Drosophila melanogaster: one gene and its partner. The protein of the gene in region 2 interacts with the protein of the main gene of each other region in a pairwise test. Each region holds a gene or a part of one and is shown on either strand. Other genes may lie near its edges.

Region 1 (6,769 bases), on a different chromosome or scaffold from region 2:
ATTTTAAATGTCGTTAAATGACTAATGACTAGCCTCCTACAATAAATGGATCTTTTGTTGCTTTGGCATAGAGTTCTTCAAAAGCGAAGAATAGAATATATAAATGTAGAATTTAAGGGCTTAAAACAATCGGAGTATTGTAAACTGTTGCCAGCTTTCCAATACATTTATTTTAGAAAAGTGATGCCAGATCGATGGAGTATCGCAACTATCTATAGATTTTATACACTAAAAAAACCGTATTTTAGTGATCTATCGTGAGTAGTTAGAGAAATATCTATGAAAGAAATTGTATCAATATCGATAAAAAAAACTTTTTAAAGTTTCAATTTGTTTAAACCATGTAATTTACTTTAATTTTTTAGCTAAATTTCATTTCAATATTTTTAGCTATTCCAAGCAAGACAATTTCACGTTTTACTCACGCTTAACCTCACATATTTCTGACACCAGCAGCCCGATAGAAAATAGCTAAAATATCCGTTCTTCTCTGACAACCAAGTTTATTATAAACTAAAAACTATAAAAAAAGAATGGTCTGAAGTGAATTTTTCATCTTGTTGTTTATTTTAGTTTTAGTGTATCATTTCTCAGTGTACACACGTTATTTGTATAAAAAAAAACAGACAGAAGTTTGTTTTTGCTGGTGATGATGTCTCCTTAACGGTTGGACTTGGCGACACGCTCCAACTCATCCTTCTTCTTGATGGCGTACGAGTTGGAAGATCCCTGGAAATACATTTAAACACAAGTTATTAGTATTGGCTATCAATGTTTTTCTAGATCTTTTATATGTTAATTGCGCTGTTATGTTACTGTTACTGCATTGTATGGATTCATCGCTTCTAAATAAATAAATATAAAAAAACAAGTCCCTAACTTATTTAAAGCTAGTGTTCCTTTACGTTTCTCATGTGCATTGAACTAAGCAATATTACAAGCACAAGGATAATAAAGGATGGAAATTAATCTGGTCCAAAAGCGAGACTACATAATTAAACCACCATGCAGAATTAGATTGGACCTATTATTAAGCTCTATATACCAACTCTTAAATAGTTTGCTAATGTTCTTTTACGTTTCTCGTGTGCATTAGACTGATATTGTCACAAGCACAAGGATAATAAAGGATGGTGATTGTTCTGGTCCAAAAGCGAGACTACATAATTAAACCACTATGCAGAATTAGATTGGACCCCCGCTATCCTAATCGAATCAGTTCCTAAATGCTAATTCATAAAAGTGTTCTTTTACGTTTCTCGTGTGCATAGGACAGTTAAGTGGTCACTAGCACAAGGATAATAAGAGATTTGGAGTTTGATCTGGTCCAAAAGCGAGACTACATAAATAAACCATGATGCAGAATTAGATTGGACTAGTTGAAATGACTAGCTGTGTCACTAGAAGGAAGAAAAGAGCTATTTCGAAGCTCAATTCTTGGGTTAATCCGAGTGCCGAACGTGGTTCTCGATCTGGTCTACAAGCGAGGCCAGGCATTTTGGTAGTACAATGCCAAGCATTAGAGTAGACCACCCCATTCCCACTTTGATCTCGCCACAAGCCCAATTTACCCACCTTAGCAGCGTTGATCAGCTCATCAGCCAGGCACTCGGCGATGGTCTTGATGTTCCTGAAGGCAGCCTCACGAGCTCCAGTGCACAGCAGCCAGATAGCCTAAAGGAAATATACGGAAAAAAATTAATTAAGTAACTTTATGAACGCAATCACAGCAGCGTAAGAATTTGGGGTTCTTATCGTTAGTAAAATGAAAGTGTGTTATGCAATTGATAATGTCTCTTCGTTTCATACGCCAAATGTCGGCTATACTACACATTATGACGCTACGGATATTAGATAGATTTTCGTTCTGGCCAAGTGTTATAAGCAAGCAGTCTCTAAACGAACCACAAGCCATTGCTACCGGCCACCGTGAGCACATGCATCTGGAAGGCAAATCTTCAGAAGAAACCCACCTGGTTGACGCGACGCAGGGGCGACACATCGACGGCCTGGCGACGGACGGTACCGGCACGTCCAATACGGGTGGAGTCCTCACGGGGTCCCGAGTTGATGATGGCGCTGACCAGGATCTGCAAAGAGGTCACAAAAAAAAATCGAAATGAGTAAGCTATCACTTGATCCACTCGAAGCACCAAAGTAGAATTTTTGCTGTTGATTTATTGCTTTATTAAGGTTGCATTTTTGAGGCCATGCCCTTAAGAGGAATAGCTAATCATGGGGTTTATTGTGGTCCAATTGAATACCACAACGCTGTAGGGATCAACGCTGCAGTTTTAGTTTTGGACGGATAATGATACCCTTGGTGAATAATGCTTAACTTTAGTGTTGTTTTAATTTCCAGGAGAGCAGGAAGTGGCTTATATCTTCAGGCACAAGGATAGTTAAAACAATTTCAATTGATATTAGTCCATTTTTGGTTATGCTCAGTATGGCATCGTATTTTTAAGCCATCTGGCATTGAGGTGGACTGACACGCGGTTTCTGAGAATAGGTTTTTGTTGATTTATGCTTTATTAAGGTTGCATTTTTGAGGCCATGCCCTTAAGAGGAATAGCTAATCATGGGGTTTATTATGGTCCAGTTGAATACCACAACCCTGTAAGGATCAACGCTGCAGTTTTAGTTTTGGACGGATAATGATACCCTTGGTGAATAATGCTTAACTTTAGTGTTGTTTTAATTTCCAGGAGAGCAGGAAGTGGCTTATATCTTCAAGCACAAGGATAGTTAAAACAATTTCAATTGATATTAGTCCATTTTTGGTTATGCTCAGTATGGCATCGTATTTTTAAGCCATCTGGCATTGAGGTGGACTGACACGCGGTTTCTGAGAATAGGATTTTGTTGATTTATGCTTTATTAAGATTGCATTTTTGAGGCCATGCCCTTAAGAGGAATAGCTAACCATGGGATTTCCTGTGGTCCAATTGAATGCCACAACGCTGCAGAGATCAACGCTGCAGTTTTAGTTTTGGACGGACACTGATCTCTGTAATGAATGCTTTCTTTCTAATGTAGTCTTAAATTCCAGGAGAGCGGGAAGTGGCTTAATCTTCAAGCACTAGGATAATTAACACTTATTCCTCTGAGTCTATTTAATATATGCCTTAGCTGGGATGGAATTTCCTTCAACTAGCATTGAGGTAGACTCATTGTGAAAGATCCACTAATATGCTATTGTCTTAAATGTCGAATTAAGTTCCAGGAGAGCGGGAAGTGGTTTTATCTTCAAGCACAAGGATAGTTAATACCTTTTCCTATGAGTCCATTAAGAGTTATGCTCAGTTCGGCTGAAAATTACCATCAACTGGCATTGAGGAGGACTCCTCTATAATACTATTGTAGCTTTAAGTTCCAGGAGAACCAGAATTTGCTTTCTATTCTAGCACTAGGATAATTAAATCTTTGGTTCACTATTAGTCCCTTTGAGAGTTATGCTTCGGAAAGTATGTAGAACATAGCCAGCATTGAGGAGGACTAGAAATCAGTGAAGATTCCCTTTAAATCAGTTTAAACCAAGGTACCGCATATGCTTTATAATGGTTTTGTAATGTGGTTTTAAGTTCCCGGAGAACAAGAAGAGGCTTTGATATCTTCAAGCACTAGGACATTAAAACCTTGTGTTCGCTCTGCGTGCCCATTCTACCCATGACCGAGTGGCAACGTTCTCTGGCCACAGTTTAGCATGGGACGCGGTGGAATTGGGAACATTTGGACGGGATGGGCATGTTTACCTGCAGAGGGTTCTCCCCGGTGAGCAGATGAATGATCTCGAACGAGTGCTTGACGATGCGGCAGGCCATCAGCTTCTTGCCGTTGTTGCGACCCTTCATCATCAGGGAGCAGGTCAAACGCTCCACAATGGGGCACTGGGCCTTGCGGAAACGCTTGGCGGCATAACGTCCGGCGGAATGGGGAAGATAGCGGGCAAACTTCTCCTTCACCGAGATGTAATCCTGCAGAGAGATGTCGTTAACGGTGACATCGTCGCAAGACCAGCGGCCGAACAGCTTGATCTCCGGCAGCTCAGTGGTGGACACCACATTTGTCTCCAGGATCGTCTCGGCCACCTCGGCTTCCATAGGTGCCGCTGGCTCCTCGAAGGTCTCCACCACGTTTTCAGCAACTTCGGCCATGCTGCAATAGTTTTTGGAAGGCAAATAAGTTAGTCACGTGTCTGCAAATCGGTATTGGTAATTCTACTGTGGGATGGGATACTTGAGGGCTTTGCGATCTATTACTATCACAGACATTCATTAATGGTTGGTTAATGGTATTTGTTCGTTGATTTTAATAAGCTAACTTCTATTATTGAACATCATTGTATGGCTTGAACATCACCTAGAAGTTTTACAGAAACGTGTTTTTCAGTATTTGTTTATGGAAACATCGTCCCTTTTGTACAAATTTTATACACATACAAATTGTTTATAACTTTAACTAGATTTCGTTTGAAAAATTCTTTTACAAATACAAAACCCAAGAAAAGGCTGTGATAAACTGATACGAATAATTTTTAGAGCCTTAACATTCGTTTTTAAATCTTAAAAACGTCTTAAAACAAAAATAAACTACAAAAAAAGTTCCAAGGTTTATGAAAGACGGAAGTTTCAGTGAAGATTACGTTTAAGTATACAAAAAGGGTCACAATAACTTTTAAATACATATTTAAGTAGTTTTCCTGCGTTAACACGTTTTTTTTAAACTGTAGATGGGCGCTATACGCACACACACACACGCATAAGCACCGTAAAAAACACACGCGCGTTGTTGTTGTTGAATTGCGAGTTTTTAAGGGTTTATACTTTCTTGAAGGTTATCCTTTTGGATAATTGGCTCAATATACGTGGATGTATATTGTATTAAACATATTCTTGCGCTGCAAGCAGATAAAAAAAATATACAAAAAAAAAGGGGAAACAAACACGTGTGACGCACACACACAGTTGCACTCGCGCGCACACACACAAACAAAAAGCCGCCCGTTTTTAACCTCATTTCGGTGGAAATGGCAATATTCCGCAGTTTGCCGCAGTAAATTCACAAAACCCTTAGTATCCACACTAGTTGCCAGCGTTTAGCCGTCTTTTGGCCATCCTCTGGCCACAATCCACACAATTAAACGTTGAAAATCCCTTACTTTGTCACAGAAGAAATCGAGATACGATGTCAGCGCAAAGGCAAACGCCTGAAAAAGAACATGTTACGGCAGTGTGCAGCAACGCCAGAGAGTCCGCTTCCGCCGACACGCACACGGTTGCATTCCGGCTGCCAGGGCTGCGCAACAAGTGAACTATCGAACGGAGATAGGCGGCCATGAGTGGGGATTATTCCTCGACTTAATCACTTTTTCGAACGCGTTTGCTACTTGAGTTGCACATTTATATGTACTTCATAGAAATATACCCTGCTTTCAGGCATACTATTAGTTTTAAGCCACTTTTTTAATGACAAATTTCGAACTTTCTATCGATATGCGGCATTTCGCGGTTTTGCCAGTCACAACGGGTGGCGATAGTTGAAATTCGCATGCCAAATTTTCTTTATTACGGTCACCTTATAGAAATTTTGATATGCTTGAGTATTAAATGTTATTATTTCACTGACTGTAAAATAAAAAGTTATTTAAATCGTAATGCATATATATTTATAACATATAGTTCTTTATTTGATTTTGTAAGTGGAAAAAAATATGTGGTATGTAAAGATTATATATATGGGATATATAAAATACACAAAAATTTTACTATATTACATAGTAAATTTAAGGGTGGTAAAACGTTTTTACACGAATACAATATCCAAATACTTTAGTAAAATATATTTTTAATCATAAGAATTTACCCATATTATTAACTTTTCTGGCACATTCTATATCCGATAGTTTACACCTTATGCCTTAGTATTTTTCGGTATTTTCTCCGGCCACACTGGCAGCAGGCCGAAGTTTCTCGTCCAATTGGGATTATTTCGGAATTTCAGTTACTAGCTCGTCATCAAAACAGCAACAACTGTTGAGAATAAAATTCTTGCGTGAAACCGAATCAATAGAAAAACAAATAAAACAAACAAAATGGTTCGCCGTGGACGTTCAGCCAGTCCCCCGCCCTCCACTCGTCGGTAAGACAGTCGCGAAAAACAAAGAAAATTCGGGGGAAATTGGATAAAGCGCCGGCAGGAAATTCATTTCGTAATCACCGACCAATCAATCGGATGATCTGGCTTTATCTCATGGACAGAATTTCACTTCCGCCGCTTTTTCCGGCCCCCGAAATGGGTTAAGGTTACGTAACCTTAAAAATAAGAGGATTCCCAATAACATGGGATGTTTTATTGGTGCTGTCCTCCTAGCGGAAGACCCGCTAAATCTGGCTACTTATTCAATTACGAAAGTGCTCATAAAATCCATTTTTGTAAGAAATTTACTAAATTTATTGTTCTATGTAAATATATATATATATCCCAGGCCATTGATTTATTAAATTAAAAACATCACATGTTTTTATTTTGCGTTAAAAAAGTAAAATATTCAAATGTTTATACAATTTGGCTTATTATAAAGAAAACAAGAATTTGCATAGGAATATAAAAATATTACCTACTTTTGCAGTAGATATAAAATAAAGTCCTTTAAAAATCCTAGGAATTAGTTAAATTTGTATAGTTCATTGTTTTCAACACAAAGACCCTTCAATTTCGTCACGGAATGATCAACGACACTCCAGAGCAAAGTCCACAATAACAACTG
Region 2 (2,922 bases):
GGCACACAGACACAATTGCTCATCGAATTGGGTCACAAATGTGGCTATGGGACTTAGAGTCCGTCACATGGCAGCGATTTGAACGAACGCAACGCCATCCTGCTGGAATCTATATGCTTGATGGGATTTATGTTCCGAGGGCGTGATCCACTTGGGCAAAGCAATGTGGAGCAGTTTCAAGCGGTTCGCGGTGGAGACGTCTGAATATGCGACCGACCGCACAAGACAGCAATTTCGACTGACAATATATTTGGCACCCGCGCCGCATCCATTGACAAAAATGCCCGCGAGAGAAACCAACGGAGACGATCTCGTGAGAATCATCTAGTAATGGGAAATTCAAGAGGTGAATCGCTCGGAAAATGGCTTGCAATAATCCGTTTTAGGACGGCTGCAGTTAGAATATATAAATACAGACGACACATGTTCTTTATGGCTTTCGAAAAGGAATCGGAGGGCAGAGGGCACAAAACAACAAAAAATAAGTTTTAAATCATTTTTTTTTTTGTTACCAGTTTTCCTTATCTCCAATCCCAATTTTTTTTTGTTCCATAGTATAAAGTCCAATTAAAGCATAGACGGATTTAATTCGAAAACATTCTTCACATGAATTTTTTTTTGCCACTAGTACTGTTGACCCTGGATTCCTTGGCCCAAGCCGCGCAGTTCCTCCATCAAAGCCGCCATTCCAATGCGCTGGTGAAATTGCTGCAACTGCTCTCGGTTGGGACTTCCCACGTAGTGGGGCACCTGTTCTGTGTAGGCGCCGGCGGATCCATAGGCTGGGGCCTCCTGGGCACAAGGAGCTGGGGCCAAATTGGGCTGGCAGCTGAACAGGTAGTTGGTGGGGCATGGTGGAGCCGGGTAGCCAGAAGAAGCAGCGGGCGCTGAATAAGCTGGAGCTGGAGCTGCATACGGGCAGGAGGCACCGGCAATGGCCACAAACGCAACGAGGGTGAGAGCAACGATCTGCATGATGAACTAAGTGATTTACAACTGTCGATTTAGTGACCAATGGTGGCATTCTTATAGCATTCATGCGTTGACTTTAATAACAAAACTCGGCACTTTTACCGTAGGCTTTAAGAAATGCAGTGCCATCACATAGCAAGCAATTTAAACGGGTCGCAAACTAGAAACAAGCAGACGATTATCACCTAATGTGGCAAAAAATTACTGTCACCATGCAGTCTGTCTCCCTTTTTGCAGAGCTTAATAGCAGAGCAATTAAATTATTGCGTCCAAAGTGCAAATCGAATGTGAATTTGCTCATTTTTTGGACCTCAGCTGTTTATTGACCCAATTTCCCAAGTACGATATTTAAGTATTACTTAAACGGCTGCCAATTTTTACAAGTTAATAAAACGTATGTAACATTTAATCTGCTAATAAATACTTCGCTTTTAAAAATGGTTATCCTAAAAATTAAATAAAGAAGTCATTTTATCTTATCGTATGTAGTAGAGCGACCCCTAGCGGGTACACTCAGAACAGATCAGGTCTCCTTAGCGAGTACACAAACCACAATCTAGATTTCGCCTTGGAGACTAGTTTATCGTATTTCAAGAGTTTTGCCTTCAAACACATAATTTCATGTTACGATAAAAAAATGTTTATAAAGTTTTCAGTTTATTTATAAAGTCAGAACATAAAAATATAAATTTACACAATTTGCAAATATTCTAATTGATTAAGTTTTCTTTTTATTATATTCGGCATATAGAGATCTTTTTGCCAACCTATCTGTTTCAGTTTCTTTTACGATAATTTAGCAATAAATGGAAATTTGTATTGAAAATTTATGTCATCTTTTAGTCATAACTCGATTTGACCTGCGTCCATTTATTATGGAAATCCTAATTGACCAAAACGAAACAGTCATAAACTTGAATGTAGAGTGCATAAATTGCAACCCGTTTTTTGAATGATATTCTATGCAAATAAGAAACATAGTTTCCTGGAAGGTTGGTAAGAAAATAATGCTTAAAAAGATCTATTTGCATAATTGGTTTAATTCGTAAGAGCAGCAAGTAAAACAGCTATGTGTGTACTAGCCCATTCTTTTCTAAGCTTAAGATGTAATATTTATAATTATGATTGATGACTATTCGATTTGGAACCTGTGTCTCGTTCAATAATTCCTTCTCTAATTGTGGCTTTAGTTATACAATTTGCTGATGATAACAAACAGTTTCTCATGCAACTGTCTGTCCAAAACGAAAGCCCCCCTCAAGTTGATATTGTTTTTGAATCTAACTTTGGCCGCAGGTAACTTTCCCCGCCGAAAAGCGAAGAGGGGTGTATACTTTAATTTGAGAAGGATCGCGACCGCTGGATTTTGGGTCGGGCAATTACGCACATGCACCATATAAAGCACACCACATACGTACATACATACATACATACATATGTATAAGATCGGACCTAAATTTTAATCATAGGCTTTGTGCCGATCGCCTGCCGCTGGCCTTCAAAGTGGGGCACCTTCGTTTCGAAGTGGATCCATCGAAATTTTCGGGTGTAGAGCCGTTTTGATTGCCCCCTCTAACGGTAAACAAATACCTGCCCTTGTTTTCGGTGTGCGTACGTGTGTGTATGTGTGTGTGTGTGTGCGATCCAGACATGGCCCCAAGATATACATCTTAACTGGAACTCCAATTGCAGGTAGTCCAGGGTGGGGTAATATTATATAGAATAATGGCCTTGGGACATACACCATCTTAGGTGGATTTTAATTGGTTATTGGTTCAGCAACTGATCAATGAATATTTAAGACTTAGCCTTTGTTTTATTGACTAAGCATACAATCCGTAGGCCTTCACTTCTCAAATATTTTATGGCCTTCTTTCTACTCCTTTGTTTTCGTTCAATTTTTTTTCTAGACGCTTCACTGAGATCAGTGGCTTTAATCGGCATTGGCTC

The links. The genes of interacting proteins can lie anywhere in the genome.
Region 1: the proteins of Vm32E (region 2) and RpS5a interact in a two-hybrid assay, tested with the Drosophila melanogaster proteins (one large-scale study listed by BioGRID).

What each region holds. Positions count from the first base shown.
Region 1 is NC_004354.4:17,143,043-17,149,811, forward strand, and holds RpS5a (ribosomal protein S5a), read right to left. Parts: upstream 5,223-6,769; 5' UTR 5,162-5,222; exon of another isoform or gene 4,646-5,161; intron 4,165-4,645; exon of another isoform or gene 4,159-4,164; 5' UTR 4,158-4,158; coding exon 3,756-4,157; intron 3,718-3,755; exon of another isoform or gene 3,570-3,717; intron 3,504-3,569; exon of another isoform or gene 3,359-3,503; intron 3,349-3,358; exon of another isoform or gene 3,206-3,348; intron 3,174-3,205; exon of another isoform or gene 3,032-3,173; intron 3,000-3,031; exon of another isoform or gene 2,861-2,999; intron 2,839-2,860; exon of another isoform or gene 2,688-2,838; intron 2,654-2,687; exon of another isoform or gene 2,515-2,653; intron 2,493-2,514; exon of another isoform or gene 2,342-2,492; intron 2,308-2,341; exon of another isoform or gene 2,168-2,307; intron 2,091-2,167; coding exon 1,974-2,090; intron 1,929-1,973; exon of another isoform or gene 1,789-1,928; intron 1,675-1,788; coding exon 1,576-1,674; intron 1,533-1,575; exon of another isoform or gene 1,393-1,532; intron 1,379-1,392; exon of another isoform or gene 1,241-1,378; intron 1,199-1,240; exon of another isoform or gene 1,065-1,198; intron 1,027-1,064; exon of another isoform or gene 892-1,026; intron 730-891; and 3 more. Other genes in the region: Chchd2 (Coiled-coil-helix-coiled-coil-helix domain containing 2), read left to right, coding at 6,095-6,141.
Region 2 is NT_033779.5:11,170,660-11,173,581, forward strand, and holds Vm32E (vitelline membrane 32E), read right to left. Parts: upstream 1,007-2,922; 5' UTR 976-1,006; coding exon 625-975; 3' UTR 508-624; downstream 1-507. UniProt on the Drosophila melanogaster protein: Major early eggshell protein.